Linked DNA regions of Cricetulus griseus. The protein of the gene in region 4 purifies or fractionates together with the protein of the main gene of each other region. This does not show direct contact. Links are inferred from orthologs where the notes say so. Each region holds a gene or a part of one and is shown on either strand. Other genes may lie near its edges.

Evidence for each region.
Region 1: the proteins of Dpf2 (region 4) and Smarcd1 purify together in Homo sapiens (affinity purification with mass spectrometry; 9 studies listed by BioGRID and IntAct, counting the BioPlex papers as one, with this or other methods). This does not show direct contact. The link is inferred for Cricetulus griseus from reciprocal best matches to the Homo sapiens genes DPF2 and SMARCD1.
Region 2: the proteins of Dpf2 (region 4) and Smarcd3 purify together in Homo sapiens (affinity purification with mass spectrometry; 3 studies listed by BioGRID and IntAct, counting the BioPlex papers as one, with this or other methods). This does not show direct contact. The link is inferred for Cricetulus griseus from reciprocal best matches to the Homo sapiens genes DPF2 and SMARCD3.
Region 3: the proteins of Dpf2 (region 4) and Smarcd2 purify together in Homo sapiens (affinity purification with mass spectrometry; 6 studies listed by BioGRID and IntAct, counting the BioPlex papers as one, with this or other methods). This does not show direct contact. The link is inferred for Cricetulus griseus from reciprocal best matches to the Homo sapiens genes DPF2 and SMARCD2.

The regions. Positions count from the first base shown.
Region 1 is NC_048595.1:396,140,089-396,145,440, reverse strand, and holds the start of Smarcd1 (SWI/SNF-related matrix-associated actin-dependent regulator of chromatin subfamily D member 1), read right to left. Parts: upstream 3,830-5,352; 5' UTR 3,647-3,829; coding exon 3,470-3,646; intron 3,278-3,469; exon of another isoform or gene 3,258-3,277; intron 2,862-3,257; coding exon 2,674-2,861; intron 2,395-2,673; coding exon 2,352-2,394; intron 2,253-2,351; coding exon 2,130-2,252; intron 1,684-2,129; coding exon 1,561-1,683; intron 555-1,560; coding exon 438-554; intron 1-437. UniProt on the Homo sapiens protein: Involved in transcriptional activation and repression of select genes by chromatin remodeling (alteration of DNA-nucleosome topology).
Region 2 is NC_048601.1:97,911,248-97,916,931, reverse strand, and holds the start of Smarcd3 (SWI/SNF-related matrix-associated actin-dependent regulator of chromatin subfamily D member 3), read right to left. Parts: upstream 3,830-5,684; 5' UTR 3,678-3,829; coding exon 3,600-3,677; intron 890-3,599; coding exon 678-889; intron 1-677. UniProt on the Homo sapiens protein: Involved in transcriptional activation and repression of select genes by chromatin remodeling (alteration of DNA-nucleosome topology).
Region 3 is NC_048600.1:119,218,159-119,223,771, forward strand, and holds the start of Smarcd2 (SWI/SNF-related matrix-associated actin-dependent regulator of chromatin subfamily D member 2), read right to left. Parts: upstream 3,830-5,613; coding exon 3,614-3,829; intron 1-3,613. UniProt on the Homo sapiens protein: Involved in transcriptional activation and repression of select genes by chromatin remodeling (alteration of DNA-nucleosome topology).
Region 4 is NC_048596.1:53,430,283-53,435,611, reverse strand, and holds the start of Dpf2 (zinc finger protein ubi-d4), read right to left. Parts: upstream 3,834-5,329; 5' UTR 3,716-3,833; coding exon 3,684-3,715; intron 1-3,683. UniProt on the Homo sapiens protein: Plays an active role in transcriptional regulation by binding modified histones H3 and H4. Is a negative regulator of myeloid differentiation of hematopoietic progenitor cells. Might also have a role in the development and maturation of lymphoid cells.

The sequences.
Region 1 (5,352 bases), on a different chromosome or scaffold from region 4:
TGTCTCAAACACTGTTGATAACAGTGTACAACCAGGTGTTATAACGGATCTCTGTCTATTTGAAATATAAATCTAAAGGAACCTAGACTAACACTAGTATTCTATTAGTCCACCCGCTAACTACAGCAACAGCTATCAGGAAAACACAATGTGTCAGGAACTACAGCCCACCAATACTTATAAGCAAGATGCAGAGATAGCCGGAAGTGTAAGAGGACTCCATCAGAGTTTTCTTTGAGGGCAGTGGTCAGGTGGGTCAAGTCAGATTGCAAGAGTTCTTGTGTCCCAACTAAGTACAGCTAGTGCCACCTAGAGGTCAACATGCAAACTGCAAAGGTGGAAATACACACCTGGGCTAATCCCCCCTCTTTCCCTAGATGCTCAAGTTTGGCTATCACCCCCAATATATTCAAAGCCTGGAAGGCAGAACTACTCACTTCTACCAGGTGGTTGTCTGGCCCATAGAGATCTTTGTCCAGCTCGATCACCAAGGACTTAAAAAAGGAAGAGAACTTTCTCTTTTGCTTGGTGGCATCGTATTTGGACAAGGCTGACTAGAAGAAGAGAGATGGAGGGTGTCATGTTAGAAAAGAGGCCAGAAAGAATCCCCAAGACATAGTTCTTTAAAAAGGAACCTCTAACCCCAATGGGAAATAAAACCTCAGAAATATCTTCTGAATATGGCAGAGTGGCTGGTCATTAAGTCAGCCATGGTGGCAGCAGTACTGTAACAAGGACAGAACCTCTGACTTACCACTGTGGAGAGGCAGAGGCAGGTTAAGCCAAACAGGTTAACATAACAAAGCACACCTGAACAGAGAAAAACCCCACTAAAGAGGGGAAATGAATCACAGGAAAAAGCAGTAGAACAAAAAATGGCTTTATCTGGGCAGAAGACATGACAGCAGACAGACTGGACCTTCGCAGAGAAGATTCTGATTCTCCTGCAAAAATGCATTTAAATGAGCTCACCTGCACATGGTTAAAAATAGCGCCAGAGAGCAAGGGGATGAGTGAAAAATGAGCCTCCCTAAGGAGCTGCTGGGTGGGAAGTGTGGGGGCTCTCACTGATCTGATACTCCCCTTAGAGCAACAAAGAGCCCAAGCCTTTGGAGAATTCTATCATACTTAAACTGTGGTATCTCCAATGAAAGCTGGGAAGACAGAAATAACTTCCAGGACTTAAGAGAGGGAACATGGCCTCAAATGCTAAGCATAGACTCAGGAGGTGGGGATGAGGGACTACAGAAGTAATCTGCAGATGCTGCTAAATCCAAAGGCTAGCATCACCAGGACAGAGTAAACATCCAGTCAGATCCCAGGACAATAATGGTTTCCATTTGATACCAGTGAAGCTGTGGGAGCAGATACAAAGGACCATTGTCTTTGTGTGCAGGGAACACAGGGTCTTTCTCCCTCTCCCCACCCCCCCTCTGCTTCCGGAAGCTCCCAGCAGGACCTATAAGCACCAGTCAGGCTTCCTGCTGACCATACAACATTGATCATCACCAAGAGCTCCCACCCTGAATACAACACCAACACAGTGGACCTTCAACTCACATCCTCCAGGAGCCGTCCTTCTACCCGGAGCTCCCAGGAAGCCACCGTCCCTTCCCCATCCTCTGCATCTGACTTAGCCGGATTGAAAGTGTTAGAAATGAAAATTCGCAGCTTCCGTTTTTGCTGAGGAAGGCAGAAACAGGATTGATGATGGAGCCTCAGTAGTTTGATGTTAAAGACAAAGGTTTTCTAGGCTGGCTTATGATAGGTGAATAAATACTCCACTTAGAAGAATACAGGCCCTGAGCCTGAGCATAAATAAATATGCTGGGATACCAGGTGAAGAAAACCATACAAAGTGGCAGGTTCCCAAGGTAGCAAGTAGTTATAGCAAAAACATGGGCAGGGTATATTTCTGGTGCAAGAGACATCAAAAGCTCCCCCGCCCCTTTCCCTGCCAGCTGCTCTACTCTTATGTTCCTAATGTAATTCCTGGTTTGTAGGCGGAAGGGAAAGATGCAATTTAAATGCCAAGGAGGGCTATGCTGTGCCTTTGAATTTTCATCCTAAGCCTGGAGAAGGTTCCTGTCCCCTCCCTTGACCCACTGCCCAGTGCTTTCCTGTGTTACCTTGATGGGACGTTTCAAAGCCTCCTGGATATCTAGCCGTTTCCTCATAATAGTCTGGTCCAGTTTCCTTTCAAAAGCCAGGAGATCCATATAGGCCTGTGATTCTGGTACCAATTCCCGAATCTTAGGAACAGAAAGATACGATTGGGCCCTAGAGCTGACCACCTGTACTTTCTCAGTCACTACATCTTCAAGAAGAAGACCTCTAGAGCCTGCACTCACCCTTTGAGGTAGGATTTTGTCAGCCATCTTCTTTTTCTTTGCACTGTTCGGAATAAATACTGTTATCAGGGTGGGATGGAACTGTCAGAACATGAGCTAAGCTGTCAGCACCTTTGTTGATGGCACAGCTAAGGCCTGCAAAACGGCTTTCTCATCACCATCAACTCCCTCTCCACCTCCACCAGGAAGCCTTCACAAGGGTGAGTCTCTGCAGCACCATTTGGTGACATAGCACCACCACTTCCTGGTTCAGTACTCCCACCACTTGAATCCTCACAGGTCTCCCAGTAGCTTCTTTCCTTCACCCCAGGCGTCATCTTACTTGTGATTTCGATTTTGGACCGCCTGCTGCTGGACCTGCTGGATCTGTTGAGGCGCAGGTCTCTTGCGGGACTGGTCCATCCCTGACTGGGCCAGGCCAGGTCGGACTGAAGGGTTCCCCCCATAGCCAGGAGGTCCCATGGAAGGTCCCTGAGGTGTCATCCGGCTGCCTGGCAGCATGCCTGGTCTCTACAGAATGGAGAGGGCCCAGAGATGTCATACCTTTCCTTGACAGCTCCACCAAGAAACGAAAAGTGATGGAAGCCTGAATTTTTGGAATGAACAAGGATGGGGGTGGGGGAGGTAGGGTGGAGGACAATCACACAGCCTTCTTTCTGCCTCTTTGAAATACGGTAACTGGACCTTCTTCAGGCCTGGTAGTGGTTTCATAGAATATAGGGTCTAAAAACCAGATCAGACTCAAATTTTCTGGAATATGTGGGATCTGACTCACCAGACATCTCTACATTTACTTTATTACTCAGCTAACTATCTCCTCAACGTGCAGCTCTAACTTGAGTGTTCCTCTGGACACTGAGCTGCCCACCTCCGGGCCCACTTCACCCACCCTGGCTCCACACTCACTCCTCAAAAGCAGACAATGCCGCTGGGAGCAGGTGAGGATGCTAACCTCCTCCCCCAATCGCGCTCTTCCTCGGCATTGCTTCCCCCACCTCCATCCAGGACCCGAGCCCCTCCCAAGGGAGGCCCTCCCACTTCTCCCTCACCCCTGTCAGTTCTCCGCCCTCGCTCGGCCCCGCCCCCGGCCCACGCGCCCCTCCTCCTGCCCCACTCACCGGATAGGCCGCCCCGGGCATCGGGGAGCGGTACAGCCCTTGACCCGGCGCCGGGCCCATTCGCACCGGAGGCCCGGGAGTTCCGCCCGGGCCCAGAGCAGCCGCCACGCCCGCCCCTCCCGAGGCTCCGGCGCCGCCGCTCGGAGCCACAGACTGGAAACCCGCCCGGGCCGCCATCTTCCCGGAGCCGCCGCAGCAGCTGCACAAAGAACCGGAACCGGAACTCCCCCCGCCCCCCGCGCGCCCCCCGAGCGCCTGGGCTGTTTGTGGGCCCGGCCCGCCGGCGGGCACGGGCGGCTCGGGGCAGCGAGACTAAGGCCTAGAGGGGGCAACTAGCGGAAAAGGCGTGCTGACCACTCCCTCCCGCCTTCGCGGCACAGGAGGGGCACCATAGAGAAGTGATGTGCGGATAGAGAGGTGACGGGAGCGGGCGCCCCCAGGCGGGCGGAGGACGACAAGGCGTTGGAAAGAGACGAGCGCACACCGCAGGCTGGAGACACTGTCATCTCAACACAGTGCTTTTGCCTTTCCAAAGCATTCTGTTTGCTTTGCTTTCCATTCTCCTACTGCTCGAACTCCGGGTACGAAAGAGAGAAACGTGCTGTTTATTCGTTTTACAAACGGAAAAGCTGAACTCAAAGGAGGGAAATGTCTTGGCAAAGACAAACCAGCAAATTAAAAGAAAAGCCATCCTAGATTCTGGTCTCCTGGCTGGTAGCCCCGGCTTCATTTCACAGATAATGGCTCAATAACTCTCCGACGCGGGAACTTCACCCTTCATCTCAGACCATTGCCTTCAGATATTAATGAATTTTGGCCATGAATCCTCTCCGAAGGTCCTGGAAATCTGTTGCTGTTCATTGCTCTTTCACTGCCCAGTGATTCAAACTATTCCTGAACCTGTCCTTTTCCAGGAGGACCAGTGTTTACCTGATCAAATATGTAGGGTCTCATGTAGCCCAGCCTAGTAGTACACTCGCTCTGTAATGAAAGATACCTGCTTCCATCTCCTAAGTGCTGGAATTACAGGTGTAGCCACCACACTGGACTACCCAAATTCCTTACTCTAGTCAACATGGCCCTCAAGGCAGGCTGCATTCTAATGGTAATCCTTATAAACTCTTCAACCAAAAAGAACAACACTGAGGAGGAGATGGTTGAAACCCAGTTTATTAGACCAGAGGCATGCGTCACTCAGAGCCCCGCCTGCTGTCCCCCAGCCAGTGGATACTTCTCAGCTTTGTGCCTGTTTCCTTCTGGGGAGTCTGCTGTCTACAGAACTCTAGAGAACCAAGAGTTCTCAGAGATGCTATAGCCCCACTCTCTGGCTCCAGGCCAACGCACACAGGTGGTCTGTCCACAAGTCCTTTTTGGGGATTAGAGGCCAAGAGACAGACAGTGCAGTCAGAGAAGTCCTGCAAAGGGTTGGAGCTCTGGCCTGGGAAGAATGCCTGGTAGGGGTGGGGAGGCCCTCTTCTTCAACTTGTGGTCCCTTAAGGTAGGGACACACAACAGCAGAGCCCTCAACTTCTCCTCTAGGCCTGTCTCTTTCCTCACATGACCAAACCCTGCCTCACCAAAAAATACAAGTGGTGGGCCTGGCTATCAAAGTGAGGGAGGGGCACTGGGCACCCAGAGGAGAGAAAGGCCACCGAATGAGGACTTCCGCTTCTGTCTGTGGGTACCCACTGCCCCAGCTGCAAGAGTCACCAATCCCCAGCCTCTTCTGTCTCTAACACTCTTGGCTTAGCATCCAGCATAGCTCCATTCCTGGCTAGGTGCTACCTCCTCAGCAGTCCCTTCCCCCGGCGAGGCTGTGGTCAGCCAGGCAAAGGGCATTGGGATAGGTGGAACAAGGAAGAGGGTATGTTAAGGCTGTGGGG
Region 2 (5,684 bases), on a different chromosome or scaffold from region 4:
AACTTAATAATGAGGTAAAATTGGTATTACACCTTGTATAAGAACCCATCTGTTGTGCAAAAGGGAGCATGTGTGTTTGGCTAAATACTGATGCCCATAGGGATCTTGCCAACAGTCAGCAGGGGCCATGGTAGTGTCACCAACTTCTCAGACAAATAAGCTGGTCCGGTGGCCTGAGGGCAGATCTGGTCCCTCAGAGGGACTATAACGTCTATTCACGCCCACTGCCAAGATAGGGACTGTGGAGGTCTAGAGGGAGATTCGGGACTCCGGACTGGCAGGGAGGTACCAGAGGACCACACTTCAGCAAACACACAGCTAAAGCTCAGCCCTCAGTTTACTGCCAGCCCTGCCTCTCCCCAAAGCCTGAAGCGTCATCCAGAACTTGGGGTAAGGGATGTGAAAAAGGATTTAGCAAGTGACAAGCAGGAGAGCAAGGGGTGCGTGAGAGAGGGGACACTGGCAGCTGACTGTCGCAGTCTGTCTCCAGTGTGGGCACACAAAAGAACCAGACCAGTGCCCCCAAGCCCTCCCCAGAGAGTATCCAAGTCAGAATGACTTGGTCGCTGCTAACACCCTTCCTCAGCTTCCCACACCCATCACTCACCCACCTGGTCCCCGAGGCTTCTGCCTGCCCGCCCCTGCACGCCCTTCCACGCCGGTGGGGGGGCACTCACCTGCGGCTCCGCGCGGGGGCGGTGGGCACAGGCTGGCCCTGGCCCTGTGGCTGGCTCTGCCCGGGCGGGGGCGCTGCTCGCTTGCGGGCGGGCTCCATGCCCGCGGGGGCCAGGCCGGGTCGCACGGCGGGGCTGCCCATGTAGGGGGAGCCCGGGGGGCCCATGGGCGCCCCCTGGTGGGGCATTCGGGCTCCAGACGGCATCCCGGGGCGCTGGGGGGGTGGGGTGGGGCGGGAGGTGAAGCAGAAACCGGCGCCGACAGGTCAGATTCGGTCCCGACCCCCAGGCCAGCGTGCTGTGTCCCCGCCCCTCTCCAAGACCCGGGGCTGGTAACCCTGCGCTGAGCGAGGAGTGGGAGTGATTGTGGGAGGGGCGGGGGCGCGGGAATCTGCGTGGCTCTGGAGGAGGGGGCTCGCCGGCTCCTTGCAGGAAGCTAACTGAAGCCAGGCAATTGCCCAGGGCATAGCCGAGCCTCGGAGCCGTGCAAGGTACCGCAAAAATGAATATTAATGGCGCCTTTCAACCTTTCAAAGGATGTTCACATCGGCAGGCACGGTCTTCTGCAAGCCAGCCAGAGCCGGTCTTTTTTATCCCCAATTGACAGATGGGGCAACTGGGGCTCAAAGAGAAAAAGCGACCTCGCCAAGGTCACCCCGTTCATCCCGACAAAGGCAGCACCTTGACGGGCCTTGCTCCCCGCTGCTTTCCTGCTTTCTACAGCCCACTTCTGGGGCTTTGTATGTGAGCCCCCATCTCCCTTTCAGCACCCCTGGTTTGGACCCTTGGTGTTCAAATAACCCCTTCAGCTGACTCCAGGTCTCTGACTTAGTCTGCCTCCTTAATTTCATTTCTCCCAAGGTGATACAAGAGGCTGGGCAAAGGCACCCGAGGGTCTGAGCTTTTCCGAGTGGCAAGTGGGGAACTGGACTAGAAGTGGGCTGCCAGAGGGCAGGGATGGTTGAAGGAAGCCACATCTCCCTCCCATCTGCCTACATCAGAGAGAGAACCCAGTACCCACCCCATCCTAGTAAGGGTACAAATTGGAGGGAAATGAGGCAGGTTGTATTTCCCCAGCCACCACCTCTGGGCAGTCAATCAAAACAGAAGAGGTGTAAACGCAAGCGGGGTGTTCCAGAGTCCACTTGTCCAGGCCTGGAAAGGGAGTTGAGGTTTAGGGGCTAACCAGGAACAAGGAGGTGATGTGGGGGTGCAGACCCTACTATTTACACACCCTCATCTCAGGCTAGGGATGTAGCTTGGTGTAGTGCTTGCCCAATACATGTGAAGCCCAGGGTTCGATTCCCAGCACCAAAGAAACTGCACTTGTAATCCCAATCTCAAGGTGGGGACAGAAAGAGCAAGACCATCTTCCCTTATATAGTGAGTTCGAGGCCTAGGCTACAGGAGACCCTGCCTCAATACACAATAAACAAATACAAAATACTCCTCATCTCACCCCAGAACCAAGAAACCCCGACTGCTCAGACCAAAGGTCTCCACCCTCTACCACCCTCTACCAGCAGCTGTCCCTGGCCATCTCTTCTGTAGTGTAACCGGCCAGTTCCTGAGTTTGCCTCCCCCATTCCACCTGACTCTGTCACTCATACCACCAGTGCCACCAGGGTGGAAGGCCAGGCCTAGTCATTCCCCACTACTAATAAGGGGGCCTTGATCACTCAAGGACTGACCCTCCAAGTTGGCCATATTCAAATCCACATGGGCAGCCTCCTCTTCACTGAATGGGACTCTGTAAAGCAACTCCCCCAGGCAGCTAGGTTAGGACTGGTAACTCCACTAACCCACAGGACTGCCTTGGGAACTGCACCCCAGAGATCCCTGTGGCTAGAGGGCAGGCTGCCACAGGGAAGCCCTCCTCCCTATCAGCTGCCCTGCTACTCATCAAGGCCACCCACACTGTCTGGTTTACTGAGAGGAAGGGGCTTCCAGGGGCTCTGCCACCAGCACCACAATCACAAGAGGTCAAGGTTTTGGGGGCCCTTGCCTCTTTCACTGAGGAGGTGCTTCTTGGAGTCACAACCAAATTTGGCCATAGTAAATTTGACTGATTTTTCCCTCTATCACATATCCCCAAGCCTGGAGCGCCTTACAGCCAGGCTCTCCACTGACTCAACCCAGTCATCTCCCTCCTCAGGTCCCTGGAACCCTCAGGTCCCTCGTGTGCCTTCACATGTCTGTGGCAGGACACTATAGTGTTAACCCTTTGATCTCTAGGCCTCATGTCCCCAACTCCATCCCTTCACACCTTTGAGGTATTAAGGTCATCAACTTCTGGTGGCTGAGCCTGCCAAGGGATCCCCTGACCCCTTTAACTTGGGGTCCATCTCTTAAGTAGGCCTCTCTTAGCTCTGACAGCAGGGCCAAGTCCTCAGGACCCTCCTGCTAGGCTGCAGAGGTTGCTCAGCCAGGGAGCTTTTGCTCTCAGGTGCCTCCAGGGTCACCTGCTCCTAGTTCCTCAGACCCAGTCAGAGTGACACTGCCCCTGTGGATGAACAGGACAACAGGCAGCCCAACCCTAGTTGTGTGTTCCAGTCGCCACCCCACCCCCACCCCAGGGCAGGGGTAACACCTGGGCCCACCAGTAAAAAAGAACGGGCGACGTGTCAGCTACAGAGGGGACCCACCTCTTGGGGGGCACGGTGCCCACATCCCACCCCTTGCCCCTGACAAGAGCCCAAGCCGACGCCTCTCTTCCCTGCCGCCGCGCGCCCATCCCCAGCCGACCGCTTGGCGACGTGTTCGGATGCCAGGGCGCCGGCAAGGTCCCAGGGTTGGGCCGTGACCGTGCGCCCCCCAACCAAAGGGGTGGGAGAGCGGGAGCGCGCCGGCGGCCCTTCCCGATCATCCCTCCATTCAGCCCGAGCCAGCTCGCTCGCCCTCCCCCGCTAACTTTCCCCCACTCACCACCCCATGGACCAGAAACTCAAAAAGTTTGCTTTTCGTGGCTTTGCGCGCCCCTCCGGCAACTTCGTCCGCGGCCATCGGGGTGGGCTCAGCGGCTCCTCTCACTCTCTCTCTCTTCCTCTTTCTTTCCCTTTTCTGCCTTTTTTTCCTCCAACTCTCCCCTCTGAGTCCTGCTGGGCTCTCTCACACTTCTACTCGAGCGGAGTGGGGAGGGGGCCCCTTCAGGGCTGCCCTGACGGCCCACGGCCCAAGCCGCCGCCGCCCGCCCGCCGCCGCCGCCCGCCGCCGCCGCCGCGGCTGCCGCATTCCTGCACTGATAAGACAGAAATAGTCCGGCGGCCCGGGGTCTGCCTGCGACGCGCGGGGACACAGCAGCCCTCCCGTGCACCCGCGTGGTCCAAACGGCGCAGAGACGCGGCGAGCCAGGCCGGTCCGCCCAGCGGCTGCGAGGCGGGCAGCGAGCGCCCAGGCCGCCGGAGGCTCGCCGGTGGCGGCACGGGGAGGGACAGTCTAGGGAGGGGACGGGGGGGGGCTTGCCCGCCACCCTGCCTTCTTTCTCCACAAACAGTTTCTCGGTTGGGGAATTCGCCGGCAGGGCCAGGCAGAGAACGGGCAGTTCCAACTTTCTTCCCCCAAGTGGCTCCTGCAGCATTTCTGAGGCCCTTTCCCCAGGGACCGGGCAGGCCAAGTAGGGAAACATTTGCTGGAAGGAATCCGGGGGCGGGGGGGCGGGCGAGCCGGGAGCGGGCCTTGCAGCCGTCCAGGGCCGGCCGCCGTGGGTGTGCCCGTGCCTCGCGCTCCGCGTGTCTGCACCCTTTTGTGGCTCGGCGCAGCGGCCGAGGGTGTGGATGTTTATGTGCGGGCACCGGTGTGCTCCCTCCACGGGAGCCGCCGTGCCTGCGCGTGCGAGCGTGCGAGCGTGCGTGCGCGCGGGGCAGGACACGGCCTGTGCCTTCCAGCTCGGAGGGAGGCTATTTCTGGGCTCGTGAGTCTTTGTTTGCCTCTGTGTGGGAAAGTGAGGGCAACCGGGGAAAGTCTTTCCGAAAAGGGGACATGGACTGGGCTCCTGAGCACAGGAAGAGTGAGTGTGGGGAATCGTGCCGAGCCGGGATGCGTACTTGGGTGGGTAAGGAGGAAAGAGTGAGCAAACAAGGTTTGGTGGCTCTGGCATGGAGACCCAGGGGGGCTGGGGGGCTGAGGTCCGCTCCAGGACCGAAGAGAAAGCAGGAGTGTGGAGTGGGAGAGGATGAGGGAGCCCCGGAAAGGACCGTAGGGAGAGAACTGGCCGACCCCCGAGTGGAGGGAGAACAGAAAGGAGATCCCTAGGCTGAGCTCAGGCCCCGCCCATGCCAGAAGCCACGCCTGTTCCCACCTTCTGGAGGAGGAGCCCGCAGGCTTTGGGACAACTAAGGGTCACACTTATGGGCTTCCTGGGACGGCAGCTGTCAGAACTAGGATGAGGGAGGGACAAGGCCTGAGGGAATTTGTGGGAACACATTAAAATTTGAGCCCTCAGGACCCAGCATTGCACGGAGGGGGCCTAACCTTTGGCCCTGCAGAATGTCTTCATTGGCCAGGACAAGCAACAGAGGGAATGTTCTCCCAGGAGTCTTTTGGGCCAGCACCTTAGTTTCCTGCAGGTCCTGCTAGTGTGCCTAGCTGTCATTGCCCTTTCAGGCGCCCACTGTCACTGTGAAAGGTTTAGAGAGAACGCCTTGTTCAGATGGTGTGGCAGACACTGGTTCACGGTGGGCTGACCAGCAGCCAGGGCTATAAAGGTAGCTCTAGTGATGATCTGCGTGGGAACCCTCCCTCATCTGCTAGCCTTGAGGCTCTTCTGCCACCGTGTAATGCCTCCACTTGCCCTCTGCCTGGCCCATCACACTCACCCTTTAAGACCCAGGTCAGACCCTGGTTCCTGGCCTCACTCATGGGAATACATCTTAGTCTTCTCCAAACGTCCGGTATCACTATCTTGTCCATAAACTGGGCTGGACTAATGCCTCAGGTGTCCTTTGCTTCAGGTGCATTTGGGTTTGTGACTCCTGAGGGCAGAACCTGGCCTTGGGCCCATGTTTTCCCCAG
Region 3 (5,613 bases), on a different chromosome or scaffold from region 4:
CAACATTTCTGGGAGCCCTCCACCTCCCAACTCCATTCACATGGCTGCTGCCTGAAAGGCCTGTTTGGCAGCTCTGCCTTGCACAGACTGTCCCTGGCAGCTTCACAGGGCTGGCCCCAGGGCCCAGGTTATGCAATCAATCAGTACAACCAGACAACCAGGCCAGCCTGGGTGGAGATTCACACCAAGTTAAAGGAGACCCCCCTCTCAGCATCCTGGAGATGAGTCTCTGCAATTTCTTTATCCAGCACTAAACCCATGTTCTCAACCACAGAAGGTCAGATTCATGACCAGTAGCAGAGACGGAGGGAAAGAAACATGACCCAGAGACAAGGAGCAGGGTGACAGGGAGGCATGTGGCAATTGAGGAGTTAAAAGTGGGAGACCCTGGGACCTCGGGAGTCCTGCCACAAGTCTCTCCTCATCAGGAAGAAATTCATCAAAGCTGTTGAAAGGCAAAAGCAGCCTGTTTCTCTGCCCTAATAAGCCAGAGCCAGAAATTAAAGGGGGGGGGAGGGTAGACAACAACTCAGGGTTGCCACAGCTGTAAGACCCTCCACCATCATCCAAGACTTCAGGTTTTCCTAGGGTAATTGCAGCTATAAGCTGGGGTGTTCAGTGCCCCCAAGCTCTTCACTGAAGTTCATAAAGCCTGTTCTACTGCTGAGCCCTCCAGGAAATCCCAAGTCGAAGCAGCCCAGGCAGGCCTGGAATAGGCCCCACCCAGACATCTGCTCCAGACTTCTGGGGCTCAGGCTCCAGGCCCCCAGCTCACCCAGAACCTCAGGGGAAGGCTGCTCACAATTCAAGTCCCAGTTCCCCCTGGCCAAGCTCCACACCTGAGCTTTGAAGAGCCAGAAACTCCTCCTTAAAAACTCAGGTTAGAAAACAAAACAAAGTCACAGCCATAGCCACAGCTTCACAGCCTCTGCCTGCTTGTCCTACCACAGGGGTAGGTGGGCCTGGTTCAGTCCCCTGGACCCCAAAATGCAGTAACTGCTTCTACTTGGCCAAACACCCCACACTCTAGACTTGATTCTGTAACCACCAAGGAGACAATGGAGAAGGCTAGGCCTGACTCTGCCATCTCTGGGTAGGAATCTAGGGCTCAAGTAAGCATGTTCTGCTCTGACCTAAAGCCTGTAGCTCTGGTCCTCAGATGGCTGCCTGGGCCTAAGAGCCTCATTTGGAGAACATACCCTGACCCTATGAACAGAAAGTATTCTAAACTCTGAGCTGAGTGAACTCAGCAATAATGCACAGTAGGTCTCTTTGTTTTGTTTTTAATTATGGTGTTAAGCCCTTCAGCTGACTGTACTCCAAGACTAGATAGAATAACCCTCTAGAGGTAGGTAGCTGGGCCATTACTTTTGTTTCAACAAGCTCCCCAATATGCCCAGCTTGAGCATGCAAATCCTCGCTCACCCCCAAGGGCTCTAACCAGGAGGAGCCCCTTTGTCTTCAGACCCCAAGCCCTTTTGAAGTTAGGTACCTGGACATGAAAAGAAGCAAGCAGTTTCTCCTTCAAAGTCAACCAGTGTTAACTGGATTCTCTTTACCCCACCTTTTCCTCTGCCCTTCCCCAGAGAAAGAAGAGGAGGGGAAGAAATGAGAAAGAAGAAGGTGGTGATGTCAACCTGGTTGGTATGGGATGTCCAGACTTAAGGCCATCTTCTTTCTCACACCTAGTAGCCACAGGTATTCAGCTGGCCAGCTTGGCCTCAACATAGACCCCAAGGCGCTACTCTTTACAAAATATGGAGGAATCCATCTTCCTATCCTCACAGGGGCTTTCCCAAGAGCAGATTTTCTATCAGCTGCATGCCAAAGAAACTGGTCTACATAGTGAGTTGGGGCAGCCAGGACTACACAGAAAGTCAGACAAAAAAAAAAAAAGCAAAGAGACAGATCTCCTCAGTGCCTATAGGAAGCTTCCAGATCAGTTCCAAGCAAACAGGGCCAAAGGCTACTAAAATCACTGACATCAGTGATACACTAGGCCCATGAATCTCCAAAGAAAGCAACATGGGAAAGATAAACCCCAACTAGTATCCTTGGGACCAAGTCTATCTCTGTTCATAGCCAAATTCTTCATTTTCTTTTGAGAGAGGAGAAATGAAGAGTTGGGGGGGGTCACTATCCCCACCCCCACTCCCAGTTAGGTACCTCCTTAGAAATCTGATTCCTGGTAGAATATGCACTCCATGAGGATCTATTTCTGAGGCCTCTACTCTACCTACAGACACCAGCAGAGGACAGAGCAAACTATAGTGCACACCTTCAGACATTAGTAACAAGGAAGCTGTGGCTCACAGGCTGAGATACCTATGGTCTTGTCAAGAACCCGGAGAACAAGTAAAAGCAAAGAGGTTGGGTGTGGTGGTGCATGGCTGTAATCCCAGCACGTGAGAGGCAGGAGGAGTTCAAGGCCAGCTTTTTTGGCTACACAGCCAGCCTGGGCTACATGAGACCCTGTATCAAAAAAAAAAAAAAAAAAAAAGGGGCAAGGATACTGGGAAAGGATGAACACAATCCCCAGGCACTCTGGGAAATGGGGTGCAGCTCTCTGATATAGCAATTGTCTGCCATGTGCAAAGCCTTGCCTGGGTTCCATGCTCAGCACCAAACTGCATTAAGTAAAACATAAAATCCTCAAAACATCCTGGAGCAACTTGCACCAGAGCATTGGGGAAGGAGCCCCACATGCCGGGTCAGGCTGAGTTCACAATGCACTGACCACAGAGTCGCACCCCCGTTCCTCAACGGGCCTTTGAAGCTGCAACCTGAGACTGACTGCTCTTTTTCCAGCTAGAAGGCTCAGGGCAGTGCCCTCTGAAGCAGCCGATGCTGCTGCAGACTCCTGCAGCCCCCGCCTAGCAGTATTCCACAAAGCCTCTCTGCTCCTCCAAACGTAACTACTGGACGCTGGCACTAAATGGAAAGCCCATGCTAGACCGTATCTGGACTAGTCTGTTACTGGGACTGGGCCTTCTTCAGACCTGGCCGCCGCTGCCACTAATCTAACCTGGAGCCATCTGGGCCCCCTCTCCTTAGTCCCCCCCATGGCGTAGGAAGCCAGGCTTCCTTCCCCCTCAACTAGCAGCTGGGAGCCATCTCAGACACTAACGCTCTGCCAGTTCCCAACTAGGGAAAAAAAAAAAGCCAAGGCAGAGTTGCAGTGGGACCGAGGCCAACGAAAGGATAACCCTGTTTTCTCTTCCAAAATTTTCTCACGTCTCGGGTCACCCCCGGACCCCGACTCCGGGACCTGCTTTAGACTCTTTCAACCCGATTGCACACAATTCTCCAGATCCCACGGAGCCTACATCTCTCAGTTACTCAGAAGCCGTGAGCCGCGGAGCCCCGGGACTCTTGTAACTGCTCGAGCGCTCCACCGGAGAGCCGCGCTCACCCTTTCCCCGACCCTGCCTGCCCCTCTCTCTCTAGCCGAGGGACCCCGGCCTGGCGCGCCACCAGCTCGCGGCAGTTCCTCCTGCAGCGTCCCCGGAGCCGCCCGTCCAGGGACGACTCCTGCCCGCCCTCACCTGCGGCCCCGGGGAGACCCAGCAGGCGCCCTCGCGGCGGCGCCCGCCCGCCCGCCCGCCCGCCTCACCTGGTACTGCGCCGCGGGGCCCGCGGGGCCCATGGGGCGGAAGGCGGCGGCCGCCGGGACCCCCATGCCTCCAGAAGGCCCCGGGCCTCTGAGCGCCGGGTTGGGCAGCATGCCGGGTCCCGCAGGCGGAGGAGGTGCACCCAGTGCCGCGGCAACGGCGCCGCCGCCGGGGCTTAGCGGGGGCAACGGGAACCCGCCCGCGCCACGGCCCGACATCGCTCTGTCCCGTCCCGCGGTGCAGCGATCCGGCCTCCGGGCTCTGTGTGGAGTCCGCTCCGCGAGCTGCGTTCCGCGATCCGGGACTTCGCGATTTTACTGCCGGGTTCCGGGGTTTTCTATTCCAAGTTCGCAAGTTCTTCACAGACCGACCCGCTTTAGGACCCGCGGCCCCACTGACTCCGCTCCTGCCGGGGAGACTCCAGATCCGGGATGTGCCGCAAGCCCGCCGGCCTCTCCCGGCCCCCGGAGGTTTCGCCGCCCGAGTCCAGTTACCCAGAGGCGGTTACGCGCTCCCGGCCCCGCCCAACCCGGGCCTGCGCCCGGCCCCGCCCCTTCCCAGCAGCCCAATCGAGACTATCTCTTCAAATCCCGCCCCTCGCGAGACCCGCCTCAAGCAGGCACCGCCCATAACTGACGGCCACAGAGCCCCGCCCTTTGGGACCGCCTCTTCCCGGAGGAGCCGGAGCGGAAGCTGCACGCGGAAGCGCTGGGAAAGGCGCGGGGTCAGAGCTCAAAGGTCACCGTCCTAGGTCCTCCGCGGTTAGGTGCTGGCCGCTCGCTCCTCAAGTGCGGCTCCCTCCGCGAGGTGCCGGGGGGGGGCACGCCTCCAAAACTGTCCTTCCGGGTCAGCCCTAAAGCCAGGCGACGGCCGCCGCTCACCCAGAGCCCTCGCCGGCGCCCGAGGGTGGGAGCCGGTGGGATAGGGCGCTGTCTGCCGTCGCCAGCACCCCGCCCCACACACACCCCAAGAAACCGCCAGGGACATGCGTGACTCCAGACGTGACCCCGCTGGGTAAAAGTTTGACTTGGCCCGGTGCGGAGGTTTTGTTTTGTTTGTTTTCCGAGACAAGCGTCTTGAGTGACAGCCCAGGCTGTGCAACTCCCCTTGTAGACCAGACTGGCTGTGACGCGCCGCAGTCTCCCTGCCCCTGCCTACCAAATGCCGAATCACAGGCGCGCACCGCCACCGTCGGCCCACAGAAAGTGAGTTTAGGTGAAGGAGTTTTGCATGCCGAGAAAACTCCAGGCAGTGAAGCAAGTTTTCTCCAGTTCATAGAGGACTTAGTTTTGAAGAGTTCCTGGCCTTTCCAGAAACCACTGGTTTCGGCTACGGAATGGACCGCCTACCCTCAGCTAATGTGGGATCTCCTCCCCACAGTACAGAATCGGTGCTGCTTAACTTTAATGAGCACTGAAAAATCCTCAGATTTGGGTTGGGGGATGTAGCTCAGGTTTAGAGTGCACTTGCCAAGCATGCATTAAGCCCTGGACTTGAACCCCGGACTAGATAAACAGTGCACGGTGGTGCATGCCGGTAATCCCATTACACATGAAGGAGTGGCAGGAGGGCCAGAAGTTCAGGGTCGTTCTCAACTGCATCACCAGTTGGGACTAGAGTTACAGGAGACCCTGTATCAAAAGAAAAGTCAAAATGTGAACCTTCTTGTTAAAATGTGGTTTGTGATTCAGTGAAGTGGGGTCAGGGCCTAAGATTCTTTATTTCTAGCAAGGTCCTTTTTAAAGAATTGCTGTTATTGTATGTGTGAGAGTGTTAGCAGGGTGTATGTGTACCGCCTGCTAGCCTGGTGCCTGTAGAGGATGTCAGAGCCCCTGCAGCCGGAGTTGCAGATGGTTGTGAGCCAGCCACCTTGTGGATGCTGGGAACCAAACGCCAGGAGCAGGAGCAGCCAGCGAGCACTCTTATTGGCCACCGCCTTGTTTTCATTCCCAACGCATTGCTTCCTTTATACTCTTCAGATCTTTTTTTTTTTCTTTTTTGA
Region 4 (5,329 bases):
TGCTACACACCTGTAATTCCAGTACATGGGAGGTGTAAGCAGAAGTCATGCTACGCTAGACAGCAAGTTCAAGGACAGCCTAAACTGCATGAGACTACAAAACAAAACTACAAGAAACTATCATTGAGCTGGACTTGGTGGTACACACCTTTAAACCCAGTCAGTGTTCAGGAGGTAGAGGCAGGAGGCTCTCTGTGAGTCTGAGACCCACCAGAGTGAGTTACATGGTGCAACCATTTCTTTAAAAAAAAAAAAAAAAAAAAGAATTTGCAGTGTTCCAGGTGGAGAAAGTCCCCAAGTCCCTCAAAGCCTTTACAAAGCACCAGTACTAACAGAAAGCCTGTTTACACTAGAAGGCCCATCTCAGGCCCTTCCTAACTGCCACACAGCTGACACCCAGAATTTTCTGGCCCTGGAAAATCCATTTGAAATCTGAAGAGGATTCCCTAAGTATTTAAGAAAATAGGAAACTGCAAGCATGTTCAATGACCCAACACTGTTTTGGTAAAGGAGAGTAAATTAACTGTAAGGACTTATATTTATAATTAATCAATCAGCCTTTTTGTTGTTATTCTGGGGCTCAAACTCAGGACCTCCTAAATGCTAGATGTATTCTATCACTGAGCTATATCCCAGCCAAATATTCATTTTTTAAAAAGTAGAGGCTTGTTTAGCTCATACTACTCTCAAACCCAGTATGCAGTTAGTTAACAATGACCTTGAATTTCTGATTTTCCTGCCAGTTTTATGTGCTGTTAGGGAATCAAACCAGGATCACTTGTATGCTAAGCAAGTACTCTACCAACTGAGTTATATCCCTAGCCTTCAATCAACCTTAAAAACAGATATACTGAGTACAGAGGAGACTTCTTTCCCATAGCATCCGAATTACCCATGAAGATGTCTGGATCACATCAGGATGGATTTGAGAGTAAAAAGACTGGTTTGGCTACAGTTACCACATAGACACAGACATGCAGTTAACCTGTGTGGACCACCAATCCTCTCTTTCAGATCGATGCGGTTACACTAAATGAGCTCTAACCAACCAGGATTCTGAGTAAGGAGGCATGGAAAGCAGGCGGGAGTAGGTCTCTCTGGCTAATACCTACCACTAAAGCTATGCCAACAAGTCCTGATGTAGAATCTGATGGGGACCCTCACTGAGCATTCACAATAGACCACTGCATAGCTTAGTTTGTGCCCAGCAAATGAAAAGGACACACACCACACACAGCAACACTACAAGTACAGTCTGACTCGATTCAATGAGCAGTAATGACTGTAATTAAGGTACGAATGTGTTGGAAAGCACAGCACAGAAAGAGAGCAAGCTCACATTTGCTGCCTTTAGGAGGCAGCCACGTCCTTACCACACAGGAAAATTGGATAAACAAGGCTGAGTGCAGCAGCTCCTTTGTTTCTGCTGATGGGAATTGATACTGACACTGGAAGTCAAACGGAAGGAAGGACCAGCCCACGGGGCTAAAGGCTGTAAAGCCAGAGCAAGGAGATTGAGATGTCTGGTCAGGGCTCTTGCAGGTTAGGTGCAACTCTAGAAGGTGGAACAAGTGGTCTAGTAGGTAAGATGGCCAGAAATGAAATGTACGTACATACCAGAGCACACTCAAGGTATGTGTGTGTTTTAAGAGAGCAAAAGGGGAGAGTATACTTATAAAGTCAAGACTCCTGTGGCAAAAAAATTTCAAGCTTCTATTATTCTATGGACCTAAGGACATTCTATTTACCTAACTCATGAAGTTTTTAAAACTAGTTAGCAGCCATGTTTATTTTAGAGTAGTATTTATCCTAATAAGATCACCATAAAGACTATTTCAATTACGACATCATAGTTGAGAAAAACAGATCATTAAAATGGAAGTCTTCTCACAGGAAAAATGAAAGAAAAGATGAGCCAGTGGTCTTGCCCTCAATGTGTGATGTCAGCTGACAGAAGACTTAAGCACACAATAATAATAATAATAATAATAATAATAATAATAATAAATAGCACCAGAAGAGCATCTTTCAGGGTGAGAATGGTATGAGAAGCCCCTCTGTAAGGGGAAGCTCTGAGGAGGCACGTAATAGTGGTGGTCCACAGTCTTCTATACAACTGGGGAGAAGCACGCTGGCATCTCACTGACACTCAGGAACCAGTGGGCAGCCACCACTTAAAATCCATACCCCCCCCCCATGGGCTGGCAATTCCATTTTCTGGAAGACCATCTTTCAACACAAACAGTTCCATTAACATGTAATTCTGAAAGCTTAGGCAAACACATTCCTCTATAACAGTAAGCTTTCCAGGGGTAAAAGCAATGACCCTTTTTCCACGGGAAACTTGTCTACCCCCCTCCCCAATGGCATAGGGAAAGTCAACAAAGAAAAAGGCAGGGTAACAAAGAACTAACATCTGAGTCCAGAAGGAGAACTATAAAAATGTTAAATCAACAGCCTCATTTACGAATTGAGGGAGATGTCAGACTGAAGAGAGCTGGGGAAACTGGAGTGGGCAGATCAGAAATAAAGATAATCGTGCCGGGAGGAGGGGTGGCTGAAAGAAGCAGCAGGATAAAGCCAAAAGCAAGTTAAAAAAAAAAAAAAAAAGTCACAAGAGAAGGCACTTAGCTTAATGGAAGTGGGAAAGCATTTTCGAAGAAAAGGGCTCCAAGCGGCGGCGGGGGAGAAGCAACTTAACCTTAACGGGGGGAGGGGGCTCTTGCGACGACTGGGAGTCTGCCCACGACAAAGACGGGCGAGAGAAGCTGTGAAAAGTCCCCCAGAATAGTTCCCAAACCTTTACTTTGTCATTCAGAATCCAAAAGCTTTGACTGGACAGCTGAATACTTCAATTTTTCTCCCCTTCTATCACGCCCAACATGGCTATTAAAGAGAAGGTCATTTTTTAAGTCTAATGGGCATTAACCACCCCATTCCAAAAGTCGCTCAGATTCTTCTTCGAGGAGGAAGGAGGATGAAACACATCAAAACCCCAAACATCTGTAACTCACGGGAAGCGGCTAAGAGGCCAGTCCCCATTCCCAGTGTTTCCCAATAACCGTTAACTTCAGCACAATGGCATCTACGGTACAGAGAACGCCCACCTAGGGACTCCTGCTAGGAGATCAGGGGGGTTCCGGTCTGGTTCCCCGCTCCCCGGAGTTCTTTCCCTGCCGGATCTATCTACTCTTGGATCAATTCTTTCCAAGAACACTTAGTCTCCGGCACTCCGGATTTCCTAGTTAATGTCACCGGACTGCTCAAGTCTCGGGACCCCAGGGAGGGCGGTGGGCGGGGAAGGGACCGCGACCTCCAGGGCCGCTCGGCCTCGGCTGGCTCCGCGAAACTGACGCGTCTCCGGAGAGGGGCCGAGAACCGTGCGCCCCTCGGTCACAGCCCGTAGCTACGCTCGGGACTCGGCTCGCGAGGAGGACGCCCGTCAGGGGCTCCCGTGTGCCCCCTCCCGGCCTCCACAAGTTTCCTAAAGAAGCCTGGCGTCTTCTCCGGAGTCTTCTGTTGCCCTCCCTACCAGGAGTCGCACAGCAAGGACTTCCCGGGCACGTCCTTCCCTCTGTCTTGTCTCCTCCCGCACCCCCGTCTCTACTCCCAGGCCCCTCTGCATGACCTCTGGTCCGGGAGGGAGGGAAAAAAAAAGAAAGAAAGAAAGAAAGACCACTCACAGCTTCACTACATTCTCCACCACAGCCGCCATCTTCCCTGCTCCTCTCCCTCAGGCCGGGAGGCCCCGAAGCCCGCAACGCGCAGGCGCTAAGCCTACTCAGGGCACACAGTACTCGACTCTCTGCGCAGGCGCAACCGAGGGTGCGCGCACGCACTAGCCCACCCGCTCAAGAGCTGGGAACGAGCGCGAGGGAGCCCAATGCGCAGGCGCGGCTGGAGAGACGAACGCGCACGCTGCTTCTCCGTCTAGAGGATCCGCCTCCTCCGTTTAGCGGAGCCTCAGAGAGGGGGTCTGCCGTGGCTGGAAAGTGAGAAAGGTAGGCGAAAAGGCTACGGAGACAGGTGGCGACTGTTAGCCGCAAGGGAGCGGCAGTTAGTTGGGCAGTGAAAAGCCACTAGGTACCAGTGTTCCCAAACATCGACCCGTTTTAAAAGTGAACTCCCAGGGTAGGATGCTCGTTGGCCTGACTCCCGCGTTCTGGCAATTACCATACTTTCCTGGCAGTAATCCTCGTCCTTGAACTTCACTGGTACCTACCTCTTCTCTCTTAAAATAATAATAATGCTTTCCTTTAGTGTGTATGCTTCTCCGTGTGTGCGTGTATGTGCCGTGGTACATGTGTGGGGATCAGACAGCAATTTGCAGAGTCCGTTCTTTCCTTCCACTTTGTGGGTTTGGGGGTAGTCAAGGTTGTCAGGCTTGGTGGCAAGTGCCCTTAGCCGCTGAGACATCCCACCAACCCTTTGCTTGCTATATTCCTAAGCACATTCACACCAGTGAAAATTTCCAATGTGATGAATGTAGATAAATGGAGGAGGCAGATCCCTCAAATACCACAATCGAAATGAAGTCCTAAAATACAAAGAGGCATTATTGGACAGCCAACAATGTCAAGTGTCCCTATGGTACACTGTCTTTTAAATTTTTACTTGTATTTTTTGTTTTGGTTTTTGAGACGAAATTTCAAGCTGGACAATATGGTGCATCCTTTAATGTCAGCACTCAGGTGACAGAGGTAGGCAAGTCTCTGAGTTCAAGGCCAGCCTGGCCCACAGAGCTACACAGAGAAACCCTGTCTCAAAAAACAAACTAACTAAAAAAGATTTGTGTATATGTGTATATATGTATTCCATATGTGTTCTCTGGTAGAGCAGCAAATACTCTTAACCACTATCTCCAGCCCTCAGGTGTAATTTTCTTTTAATTTTTAAACTATGTTTTGTTTGCAGGTATGTCTGTGCACATGTGTGCTTGGTGCTAGGATGAGGCCAGAAGAGGGCATCAGATCCTCTGGAACTGAAGTTATAGATGATTGTGAGCTGTCCTGTGGTTTCTGGGAATTGAACCCTGGTCCTCTGGAAGAGCAGCTAATTCTCTTGTTAACATCTGAGCCATCTTTCCAGTCTCCTGCAATTTTAAAAGTATATTGTACCCATGGTTGGCTGAATTCATGAATGTAGAACCCATGGATACACAGGGCCAATTGTATATCGCATCTCTTTTTGTTAGAAAATGCAAAGTCTTATTATTGCATCCACTCTCAAGTACAGAATTTCTGTCCATTCTCTTACTAGTTCATCTCAATCTTTTGCAATATAAAAACTGTTATAGCATTAATTGAAGGGCAAAGATGTAGCTCAATTG